Linked DNA regions of Cricetulus griseus. The protein of the gene in region 1 purifies or fractionates together with the protein of each later gene. This does not show direct contact. Links are inferred from orthologs where the notes say so. Each region holds a gene or a part of one and is shown on either strand. Other genes may lie near its edges.

Region 1 (4,227 bases):
GAAGAGCAGCCAGTGCTCCTAACCTCTGAGCCATCTCTCCAGCTTTATTTAAATGTTAAGATCTTATTTATTTATTTATTTATTTATTTATTTATGGTTTATCGAGATAGGGTTTCTCTGTGTAGCTTTGGAGACCAGGCTGACCTCGAACTCACAGAGATCCGCCTGCCTCTGTCTCGTGAGTGCTGGGATTAAAGGCGTGTGCCACCAACGCTCGGTTTAAGAGTTTATTTTTAAACCTGGGTAGCCGGGCATTGGTGAACAAGAGCTAGTTCTAGGACAGTCTCCAAAGCCACAGGGAAACCGTCTCGAAAAACAAAAACGCAAAAAAGCATACAAACAAAAAAAATGGGTATATGAGGGAGTAGGGGCTGGCAATGGTGAGTGCAGTGCCCAAATTACAAGCTGCTTGGCATGGTGCTGCGAACTCCCTCCACAGGAATACCAGGTTATAAACGCTGAGCCTTTTCTCCAGACCCTGTTTCTACTCCTTTTTATTAACCCGTTTTACTGGGAATCGCTACAAAGTAGCAAGTGTAAACAAGAAAAGCCAAAGCGCTTGCTTGGGAAAAGAGAAAAACCCCAAATCTTGTTTGTTTTTTCCTACATAGGTTGAATACTGAAAGCCTGAAATAATTCAGAACTCATTCTCTTTGGAGTGACCAAATACCTCCTAAACATTTCCCTTAGATGCCCCCATCAAAACCTACCGCTGGAACAATAGTGCCATTTTACTCTAGTATAGTAGCAAGTCTGGCCTTATTAGCAGGCCACGGTAAATGAATAATCTTTCGGACTGTCTAGTTAAGTCTGTTCAGTTAGTCCCTCGCTCCCAGCACCGCCTCCGCTCGGCCCCTTCCTGTTCTCCCAGCAGAGGAGGACTGGACCAGCCAGGCCGGTCACGCTTGCCTACCCGGGAATCCGAAGCTGCCCGCCCTAGGTGTACCAACAGTGACCCTGGTCCTCTAGCTCCACCCTGCTCCACCCTGTTCCACCCTGTTCCGCGGCCTCTAAACCCTCTTCTCCGCTTAGCTCCGCCCCGCCTCGCTTAGCCCGCCCCCCTCTGTTACGAGTTCTGGCTCCGAGCTCCCGTGAATGAGGTTTTTCCCGTAGAGACCACGCTTTCCCTCAAGCTCCCCAACGGCTCCGCCTTCCCGCCGGAGCCAGACCCTTCCCAGCGTGCCCGGCGATTCCGGCGTGCGCAGACCTGGGAGGGCAAGGCCCCAGGGCCTGGCGGCGGGGCGCGAGGAGCAGGCTGGGAATTGTAGTTCCTGAGCACACGAGGGCGGCTGGAGGCTGGACGCCGGCCGGACTCATTGTCCCAGCGTGCCCTGCGCTTCAGCCCGCGCGCTCGCAGCTTCTCGCTCTCTGCGCCCGCCCTCCCGCTCCCTTGCTTGCTCGCGCTTTCCTCGCGGATCGAAGAGACTCTAGCTACAGCTTGTGGCTGGAAGGGAGACGGAGGCCGCAGCTCAGGGAAAGTGAAGCTGCAGTAGTGGTGGTAGGAAGATGTCGGGCGAAGACGAGCAGCAGGAGCAAACTATCGCCGAGGACCTGGTCGTGACCAAGTATAAGATGGGGGGCGACATCGCCAACCGTGAGTGCGGCCTCGGGGGTCTTGGAATCGAGGCTGAGAGGGAGAGGTTTGGGGCTGTCTCCCGAGGGGCTGGAGCGGCTGGGTCTTGCGGAGTGAGCCACCGAGGGGCGCGTGCCGACGACCAGGGGCGACGTGGTGGGGAGATCTGGTGTCGCCCCGGGGACTGAGCAGCCATGCCTGGGCTGGAGAGAGTGGAGGTGCGGGCCGGCGACCGCGAGGAGCGCAGAGAGGGGCCCAGACATGCTCCGACCCTAGGCGGTTGGTAAGGAGGCAAGGCGCGTCGTCTTCTGCCCGTCACCCTTCGGTCTGTCGGGATCTCTGCTTCCACTGACTGGCAGCTGTGAGGCTACCTCGGAAAGGGTGCTGCTCCCAGCTGTTGGCGACATAAGCGCCCCTCTGGCAGTCGCGGGTCCTGACCCGTAGGAGCCAGGCCGGCACGTGTTGCCAGGTCCCTGTGCGGATCGCTGGCTCCCCACTTCCTCTACTACCGTGCTTCCCCACCACGTGCTTCAGAAAAGTCTCAACTTCAGGTCCCCCTGGTGGGGGCCCCCTTCTCCCCTGGCCTAGCCCGAGGGACCGTTGAGGGGCACGTCTGCAGCTTCTAACACAACTCTTAAAGACAATCGGTTTTCTACACTAGGTTGATGACTGCTGCCCCAGCCTGTGAAATGGCCTTGAATATTTGTTTTTAGAGGCTTGACAGTGTTCTGAGGTCCTGCTTAGAACACAGCTAGGCAAGCCTGTCAATAATGCTGGGACGGGACGGAGAGGAACACTGATTTTTTTAGGGTTATTATAAGTATTTCTTGCTCTTTCTCAACAGTTGTCTGCCACTTGGGCTCTTTCCAGTTGTCTCTTCGTGTCAGTCCCGTCCCGTCCCATGCACCCCCTCCCGGGGGTGGGGGGGAATTTCTGTCCTACTCTTGTAGACCAGGCTGGCCTCAGATCCGTCTATCTCTTCTTCCCAAGTGCTGGAATTAAAGGCCTGTGCCACCAGACCACACCCGGCTCTCTTTTCCATTTTTTAAAAGCCTCTTAATAGAGATAGAAACTATTAGGACTTTAAAATGGTCTTGACAAAATTGAAGAAGGTATTTAGGATGCCTTTAGTTAAAACCGAGTTGTTTTTTTTTTTTTTTTTTTTTTTTGTATTCCAAAGAATAACCAAAACACTATTAAGCCTTGAATCCCCATGGATCATAGAGAGGACGGATACAAAATAATATCCCTATCTGGGGTAGTTTTAGTATTTGATATTATTGGTTTAAATCAGACAAAATTTCTATCCGTACTATTTGAAGCTTTAGGCAATTTGACTTTAGATAATAATTTTGAAACTGATCACGTTTCCTTGAGATCTCAAAGTAAACCTTGAGTCTCCTGAATCTTTGAGACCTTAGATTAATTCCCCTGGTCTTATATGCTTGTATATGGGGAAATGCATCTACATAAATTGTGATTACTAACACCTAATTAGAGTGTCTAGGGAAGGGAAGAAGGTAGCATTTAACAATGCTTCAACTTTGACTCAGCAATTCTATGTGTACCTTCCCTTGTCCCTGACGCCTATAAATTTCTTCTGCTCTGCTTGTGCATATGGGGTGTCTTGAGCACAGTTCCCTAACGTTCATGATTCTGTATGCCATAACATCTTTGGTAGGTGCAAGACTCTCGTCTATCCAGGTGTCAAATAATTTACAGAAGAGAAGTAAGCGCTGGCCTTTTTTATTTTAGGAAAGGAAGGTAGAAAGGAAGACTGGGCGTGATAGTGCCTGGTGCCAGCACTTGTCGGGGAGACACAGGCAGGCCATCTCTTGAGTTCCTGTCCAGCCTGGTGTACATAGTTCTAGGAAAGCCAGGGGTGTGTCTCAAAAAAGCAAAATAAACAACAACAAAAAAAGGTAGACATTAAAGTGGATAGATTGTACCAGGACACAAAATTTGTTTCCTTTCCACTTCCTGCCTTAAGACAATGACACTAGGGAGTATTAGAAAATGAATTCAACTTCACATCTAATTAGATGATGAATGCAAGCAGGACTGACCTGATGGGATTCTGTCTCCAGGGGTACTCCGATCTTTGGTGGAAGCCTCCAGCTCAGGTGTATCAGTGCTGAGCCTGTGTGAGAAAGGCGATGCCATGATAATGGAAGAGACAGGGAAAATCTTCAAGAAGGAAAAGGAAATGAAGAAAGGTAAACGGGAAAGAATACTCTTCTTAATTTCTCCCATTTGACCGTATCCATCTAGCCCCGCCCCCCCCCCATTGTAAAGTCCACGCCATCTCTGATTAACATATTTGGAAATCTGGAGTAGCAAATGGGATGGGTGTAGTTTCCTCTCCTGATCTACACTGAGTAAGTTTAAGGAAGGCAGCGGGTGCTGCCAAGGCAGAGCCAGGCAGTAAGGTTGATGGTTCTTTTTACAGGTGTTGCCTTCCCTACCAGCATTTCCGTAAATAACTGTGTGTGTCACTTCTCCCCTTTGAAGAGTGACCAGGACTATATACTCAAGGAAGGTGACTTGGTAAAAATGTAAGGTTAAGCCATTCTGGAGTATTTGTCATTTTCCTACACATTTAAGCAGGGTCGGTTCCTAATGAAGTGTTCTATCCTTGCCTTTCAGTGACCTTG
Region 2 (4,250 bases), on another chromosome or scaffold:
GGTCTTGGCTCACACCAATCATTTTTCCTGTCCCTCTACCCAGGAGTCTCTCTTGGGGTCCATCTCAAGGTGTGACCCTTGTCACTGTCTCTATAAAGACAAAGCCTCCACATCACTGCACTGGTTCCCACCTCATGCCCTGACCATAGAGCATTTTCGTGGAGCTGTGTCCTCCACCGCGTTGCGAAGGACTTAGTAACAAGCATCACGCATTAACTATTTCTACTTGTCTCCAAAGACCCGTGTTCAGATAGAAAACGTGGGACCCAACACATCCTGTTTGCACTAAAATCTTCCGAGATGGGCCAAGGCGTGGTGGCGCACGCATTAATCTCTACACGCGTGAGGCAGGCAGGTCGAGGCTAGCCTGGTCTACACAGTGAGCTCCAGGACAGCAAGAGCAAATAGTTAGGCCCTGTCTCAACATCCCCGACAAAATCTCCACAGGTGATCTATCAACCAATATCATCAGTTGGCGGAACCCTGACTATGCAGAAAATTAGGTTTTAGATGCCCAGGAGGTACCCTAGAAGGGCTCCAGTATGCCACGCCTGGAACCCAAAGTCCCACACACAGGTCTAATCCACTCACGGCAACTCTGTCCTTCAGGCCATTGAGGGAAACCGTGAGTGGCCACAGGCCGGCAAAAAACTCCTCCAGCACACACCAGGAAGTCACCTCTCCGAGACCGTCCCCATCAGGAGTTAAATCTACCGCGCGAGGTTGGACATTAAGCGAGCTGTTTGAGCACTGCACACAGGCGCGCACACACGCACGCAACTGCCTTTATTGGGAGCTGTCTCTCAGGAGAACAGCGGCCCGCGGCGCAACACTAGAGCCCCGGGATGTTCTCGGCTCTGCCGAGGGCAGGCCGAGGGCCGCGAGCTGGCCCCAGTGGGCTCTAGGCCCTCAACTTCCGGCGCTCTCCGGCTCCTCAGCGGGAACGCGCGGCGAGCACTTGAGGCCGCCGCGGAGTCCACGGTGGGGCGCAGCTTCCGCAGCGCGGGGGATGCTCGGGCCACCCACCACCCCCCACCCCCCCGGCCACGCGAGCCCGGAGCTCCAGGTAGCAGTCGAGCACTAGGAGGCGTCCGGGCCACGCCGCCATCCCCGAGCCCCTTCCACAAGCCGCGCCAAACGGGCGCGTTGCACCGCGCAGGCGCGGCGAAGGCGAGCCGCTAGGGCTCGCCGAGAAGACGCGCACACCAGCCAGTCAACGTCCGCCTTGCGTAGAGCTAGGCCCGCCCCCAGGGCGCTGCCGTCAGGCCCCGCCCCCGGCGGACCCGCCCCCACGCCGTAGCCCCGCCCCCACGCCGTCCTGGGTTGAAGGCTCGCGGTTGGCCAGGGGGACGGACGCGCGCTCTGGTTGGTGGAGGAGGGGTCACGAGGACGCCGTCGTCGCCTTTCCAGAGGCGATTACTGGGCAGGCTCAGTCTTTTGCCTCAGACGCTAGCTGTAGCTGGCAGTCGCTCGTACGTGCTCCAGAGTCCACCGTGCCCGTCGCTGCCGCCCAGCTCGCGTGGGTTCCCCGAGGCTCTCCCGAGCTGCGCCCTTCGCCGCACGCGCCGTCGTCGCAACCCGCCACCATGGTGAAACTCGCAAAGGTGAGAGGCCTCGCGCGCGCCGACGCGGACGGACGCCTGGGCCTGCTTTCTGAGGGGCGCGCGCGCGCGCGTCGCTCAGGGGAGGAGGGCCTGCGCGCAATCCCGGGCGCGTTCGAGGGCGCCATGCTGGGGAAAGTCTCGCGCGACTAGCGGGAGGTCTCGCGGTGTTTGGCCCCTGACTTGGTGGTGGGGGAGAGCCGAGGCGGGTCCCGGGAGGTGTGTGTGTGTGTGAGCGCGCGCGCGCGCGTGTGTGTGTGTGTGTGTAGGGCGGTGAGATCGGAGCCGCCGCGAGGGGAGAAGGGGCGACAGGCCCGCCGAGGGGAGATGGGACCCAACTCGTGGGCCGGCGCCGGCGTGGCCCCGCCTCCTGGCGCACGTGCTCCGGTGCGCGGCCCGCCACGTGGGTTTTGGCGCTCTGCGTGTGTTGCCCGTCTCGGGCTCGGGGAGTCGCGGGGTACCGGGGAGGGGGACAGCGGGACTGAGCTAGGTGGGTTCCCCGGCGATCCCCAGCGCCTGTCCGTGACGGGCAGGCCAGCACGTGGTGGACACCTGAGGGAGCGCGTGGTGGCCTGCGTGGTACCTCCACGTGGCCCGCCTCCAGAGTGGCGACGTCGGAAGTGGTTCTGTGAAAGACGTGCTCCTCTCCAGAAGGGGCTACCCAAATAGATACCCCTGCCCCGGCAGATGATTTAGAGTGAAATTCAAAGGGCAATGAATGACTAGTAGATTGTCTTCAGTTGTCTCTGGAAGGGAAAGACAAGTTATATAGGTGATTCTCAGGAAAGATTGCCACATATAATAATGCCAATGATGTCACCTGTGCTTAGGGCCTTTAACAATATAGACAGTGGGCATTAAGAAAGAAGATAATGGCGAAACGCAAAATGGCTTACAAATAGGGTATCGACATGATTTTGTGTGCACTTGTGTAGGCCGGCAAAACCCACGGCGATTCTAAGAAAATGGCTCCTCCTCCAAAAGAGGTGGAAGAAGATAGTGAAGACGAAGAAATGTCCGAAGATGAAGAAGATGACAGCAGTGGAGAAGAGGTATACAGCTAATAGGGCAGCGGTGCCCTCCCTTTAATTCCAGCAAGAGGGACGTAGAAGGCAGGCAGTTTTAGTGAGTTCAAAGCCAGCCTGGTCTACAGAGGGAGTTCGGGGACAGCCAAGGCTACACAAGAAACCCTGTCTCAAAAACCAAAAAGAAAAAAAAAGATGTAGAAATAGAATGTGTGTTAATAAAAGTATTCTAAAGCCGGGCGGTTGTGGTGCACGCCTTTGATTCCAGCATTCAGGAGGCAGAGGCAGGCGGATCTTTGTGAGTTCAAAGCCGCACATGGTCTACTTAATGAGTTCCAGGACAGCCTCCAAAGCTACAGAGAAACCCTGTCTCCAAAAACCAAAAAAAAAAATACAGTAGTATGATAACAATAGTTGAGTGACAAGTTCTTTATTGCTATTGAGTAGTTAAATAAGAGTATTACAGTCCACTTGAGAGGGATGTAAATTTCACTCAGGTTTCACATGCTGTATTGAATATTGATTGTAGGCTGTTATTTTTCCCTACATTTTTGGAAAACAGGGTTTAATCCAGTTTGATTTGTTTTCATTCAGATCATGGTCACGTGATTTCATGGTGTTTGGTGAGAAGGACATTACGACTAGAAATTCCCGGGTGTTTTTTTTTGTTTGTTTGTTTGTTTTTTGAATCAGGATCTCAACATGACCCTTGTGGTCTTAGAACTCAACATGTAGACCAGTCTGGCCAAAAATTCTCCTGAATAAAGGCATTAGTCATTGCATGAAGCTAGTTAAGAAACTTAGGGCTTTGATTTAGATGAGAATTGGAGTCAGGGTCTCAATAGTTCAGGAATCACTATATTTATTTTACTCCTATTCCCGTCATGCATGTTTTGTTTTTTAGTGCTGATCCCTATCACTAAAGTAAGCTTTAGCCTATTATATAAGCTTTTATAGAGCAAGTCAGTTTTTAAAATACATCAGATATGGATTGAAGGCTGCTACTTACCAGTTTGCTGAATCTGGTACTTATTAGCACTCCTACTTGTTGGTTCATTTAAAGACATGGTTAATTAATTTCAGGAGGCAGAAGTAGGGATAGTCTTGGAAATCAGGTAAGCTGGGGGTATGTAATCATTATGCTCAGATTTCTTGTTTAGAAGAGCTATATTAGTAATAAGCAAAATTTGGGTTTTGGTGGAACATTTTTCAATGAAAATAAAATGCATACTTGTTATAACTCTGCTTAAGGCTGATGTGTAGGGGTGGAGTTGGAGACCAGTTTCATTTATGAGTGTTTCTTAAACTTGGGTATTTGTGTGATAAGCACCTGCAGTTGTAAGCCATGTATTCTGATTCCAGGGTTTAGGATTTAGTGTGTTGGAGTTAGGGTTAGAGTGTTTATCTGTATTTGTATGAGTGTACTACTAAGCATGCCTGGTGCACTTAGGCTAGAAGAAAACTCTTAGGTTCCCTGGAACTATAGTTAGAGCCATCATGTGGATGCTGAGAACTGACCGTTGGTCCTCTGCTAGAGTAACAAGGGCTCTTAACTGCTGAACCGTCTCTCTAGCCCTTTCACCCCAGGGTTTAACATATACCTAATTCCAGTGTTGAGCTCAAA
Region 3 (3,587 bases), on another chromosome or scaffold:
TGAGTAACATTTGTTAGATACTTAATTAGGCCTTTTTGTTTTTCCAGGCAGGGCTTAAAGAGCCCTGGCCACTCTGGAACTCAACTTAGTCTGGCCTCAACTCAGATTCACCTGCCTCTGCCTTCAAGTGCCTTGATTAAAGGTGTGCACCACTACCATCTAAATACTTTTTGATCCATTCAAATACTGGTGCTGTTTGTTTGACTTGTCTATTAAATATTGTGATAGAACGGCTGAAGGTAGCTTCTTTCAAATTGAGCAAATAATTAAGTTGGTTTATTTCCTTTATAGTGATGATGATGATGATTTTGATGATGAAGAAACTGAAGAAAAAGTTCCAGTGAAGAAAGTGAGTATATAACATGCCATGGGTGTCAAGATAGTTAATAAGAGATAAGAATTTCTTAGTGTTGATAGTGAAAACTGGCTCATTTAATTTCCTATTAAAATTGGTTTTGAACTAAATAGACTAAACTTTGTAGGTAAGAAATTTTATGTTTATTACAATGGTTTAGGACACTTGTCTACTCTGGAGGGGGTATACTCTTAATTGCATTCTCTTAATTGCAGTCTGTACGAGATACCCCAGCCAAAAATGCACAAAAATCAAACCAAAATGGAAAAGACTTAAAACCATCAACACCAAGATCAAAAGTAAGTACCAAGGTAACAAAACAGATAAACAGACCTAGTTAAGAAAAGTGAATTCTGTGTTAACCTAGCCTGGGGCTGGAGAGATGGCTCAGAGGTTAAGAGCACTGGCTGCTCTACCAGAGGTCCTGAGTTCAATTCCCAGCAACCACATGGTGGTTCACAACCATCTGTTATGAGTTCTGGTGCCCTCTTCTGGTGTGCAGATATACATGGAAGAAGTATGTTGTATACATAATAAAATTTAAAAAAAAAAACCTAGCCTGCCTAAACTTTGGTATTTAAAGAACTTAACCCTGGCTACATAATACATTGTAGTGCAGTACTTTCATCTGAAGAGTGTCATGTTCTGGGGTGGGCTCTAGTATGAGTTCTTGCTTCGTTTGGAGACCTATTGAATTCTGAGTTTTGTTTATAATTTCATAATGGGATTTTTTATGGCTTGTGTGCTTACAAAGGCCAATTAATCTTTGTAGAATTCAGGACAACACAGTTGGAAGATGCCTGTCAGGGTTCCCCCATCCCAAGCATTGATGAAGAAGCTGAAAAGTGTTCCAGGGCAGCCAGGGCTATTAAAAAAAGATGTTTATGGGGCTGGAGAGATGGCTCAGTGGTTAAGAGCACTGCTTGTTCTTCCAAAGGTCCTGAGTTCAATTCCCAGCAACCACATGATGGCTCACAACCATCTGTAATGACATCTGGTGCCCTCCTCTGGCCTGCAAGCAATATGCAGGCAGAACACTGTACATGTAATAAATAAATATTTTTTAAAAAAAGATGCTTATCAGGTTTGGCATCAGGTGCGTTTACGTTAACCTTGAGGTATCTTTCCTGACAATCATTGTTTTAAAAGAATGATCATTTTGGTTGTCTGAGAGTCAGCTAGCTGAGACTGGCTTTCTGACTAGCTACAATCCTCCCTCAGCCTTTGAAAGGCTGAGATTAAAGGCTAGGAACAATCTTAAAATCAGAAAAATGTATAAAGTTACATGTAAAGCAGTGTCTCCATACTTTATCTAGAAGAGATTGTAAAAATAATTGGGAAGTCATAATTATAATTATGAACTGTACTCTAATTGCCTTAATTAACTTATTCCAGGGTCAAGAGTCCTTCAAAAAACAGGAAAAAACTCCTAAAACCCCAAAAGGACCTAGTTCTGTAGAAGACATTAAGGCAAAAATGCAAGCAAGTATAGAAAAAGTGAGTAAAATTACCAATAATGGATTGCTCTTTTCCCTACTATGTATGGAGGGTGGGTAAAAAATAGATTATAGAAATAGGTATATTCATAATCTTGTGCATAGATGGATGATTTTGCTACAATAAAGTGCAAGGATGTATTCTGATTTTAAAGCTTAACATAAGTGAATATTGCCTTTTCTGGGGTTATGCTATAGAACCAGCAGAGGGCGTTTGGACTTTAGTAAAATTAAACTGCTAGAAAAGAAGTCTTTGGCTGCATGAGATTATACCTTTAAAGGATCATTTTTTTTAAGCATTTCCCAGCAATTGAATTATTTCTGTGCCCTCTATACCAAAGTATCCCCAGTCCATGACCTGGAATTTATATACGGACCTGGGGTGTGGAAAATGGAATAGTCAATCCAGTGGTTTTTTTTCCCTTGAAGATTCTCTAAATTGTGATTCTAACATTTGGAACAAATGTGGAATTATAGGAAAAATTGTTCTTTTCAAGTTTTTTCCTGTCCTATAGGCCTCAAATGGTTTCAGGTTTTCTTCCTTTGTGAAGCCACCAATGGATTGGAAATTAGCACTGTAGTGCCAGCACATATTTACACTGTAAACTTTTTAGCTTTCCTGGTGTTGTCACTCACTGATTTATTTTTATCCCTTGCATACACTGCTAAAATGGTGCCCCTCCCCCCCATTTTAATGTGGTCCTATCTCCTTGATTTAATTGCAGGCGCATTGAACAGTCCTGGGCACTACTGGTAAATTAAGCCCAAAGATGGGGAAAGAGGAAAAGGAGAAACAAATATAGCCCATACTGAGTACCATCAACAATCCAGACTGAAGTCTTCTATTTTAATCTCAATCCCCTTTCCTGATTGGCCATCCATTCCCCCCCCCCTTGCACGTTGGAAGCAATCTTTTGTTTTCCTAAAGCATTTTTCTTTTCACTCTTGTGATGCAGAGAACTTTACTGCTTTCTACACTTGTGCATATGCCTCATCTCTGACCATGTTTTTAATACCTTTGTATCCTTAGTTGCTCAATAAATTTTTGAATGAACCAAATAAGGATGTATGTGACAATATTTTAAAATTACTATAGTGACTTATTTTCTAGGTGATGGAGGCAATTGAGTCTCATATTTGGAAGCCTTATTCTTGCTAAATGCATAAAACAGGGTGCAAAACTAAAATTTTAAGTGGTATTACATGAGGGATGATAATTTGTAGTGATAATCTAATTTTTATGCTGATTTAAATTAAGGTAGCTAGGCAATAACTAGTTACCTTATGAATTTGATGACAAATTATTAGGTATTACTGATTGTGAATCATTGCCTACATTCATAATTGGAACAAAATGTCCAATTTGTGCTGTTAGTAAGGGGTTACTATTAACTTCAGTTGGTTTCTAGGTAAATGGTATGGTACCTTAGGTTCTTGGAAAACACTAAGTTTATTATAAGCAGGTATTGAATTTAGTTTTGGGTGATAGAGGGTACTAAAACTATTTGCAGGATATGGGTACTAAAACTATTTGCAGGATATGGGTAGGCACCCCAGTTGGCTGTATTTGCATGCCTGTAGAATTACCTGTAGTTTAAGTTTGCTGTTTTGGGGAGTTGGACATTTAGCAACTGAAAGACTGGTCATAATGTGCTGCCTATTAGGTCTTTCTGGGCTCCAGTGATGACATTGGTATTTTAAAGTAGAGAAGTTGAAGGGACAAGGAATAAATTGTT

The links.
Region 2: the proteins of Pa2g4 (region 1) and Ncl purify together in Homo sapiens (affinity purification with mass spectrometry; 3 studies listed by BioGRID and IntAct, with this or other methods). This does not show direct contact. The link is inferred for Cricetulus griseus from reciprocal best matches to the Homo sapiens genes PA2G4 and NCL.
Region 3: the proteins of Pa2g4 (region 1) and nucleophosmin purify together in Homo sapiens (affinity purification with mass spectrometry; 4 studies listed by BioGRID and IntAct, with this or other methods). This does not show direct contact. The link is inferred for Cricetulus griseus from reciprocal best matches to the Homo sapiens genes PA2G4 and NPM1.

Annotation. Positions count from the first base shown.
Region 1 is NW_023276806.1:129,340,105-129,344,331, forward strand, and holds the start of Pa2g4 (proliferation-associated protein 2G4), read left to right. Parts: upstream 1-1,354; 5' UTR 1,355-1,506; coding exon 1,507-1,594; intron 1,595-3,660; coding exon 3,661-3,789; intron 3,790-4,022; coding exon 4,023-4,128; intron 4,129-4,219; coding exon 4,220-4,227. UniProt on the Homo sapiens protein: May play a role in a ERBB3-regulated signal transduction pathway. Seems be involved in growth regulation. Acts a corepressor of the androgen receptor (AR) and is regulated by the ERBB3 ligand neuregulin-1/heregulin (HRG).
Region 2 is NC_048595.1:438,027,384-438,031,633, reverse strand, and holds the start of Ncl (nucleolin), read left to right. Parts: upstream 1-1,424; 5' UTR 1,425-1,586; coding exon 1,587-1,604; intron 1,605-2,536; coding exon 2,537-2,653; intron 2,654-4,250. UniProt on the Homo sapiens protein: Nucleolin is the major nucleolar protein of growing eukaryotic cells. It is found associated with intranucleolar chromatin and pre-ribosomal particles. It induces chromatin decondensation by binding to histone H1.
Region 3 is NC_048600.1:48,339,238-48,342,824, reverse strand, and holds part of nucleophosmin, read left to right. Parts: intron 1-291; coding exon 292-349; intron 350-570; coding exon 571-654; intron 655-1,750; coding exon 1,751-1,852; intron 1,853-3,587. UniProt on the Homo sapiens protein: Involved in diverse cellular processes such as ribosome biogenesis, centrosome duplication, protein chaperoning, histone assembly, cell proliferation, and regulation of tumor suppressors p53/TP53 and ARF.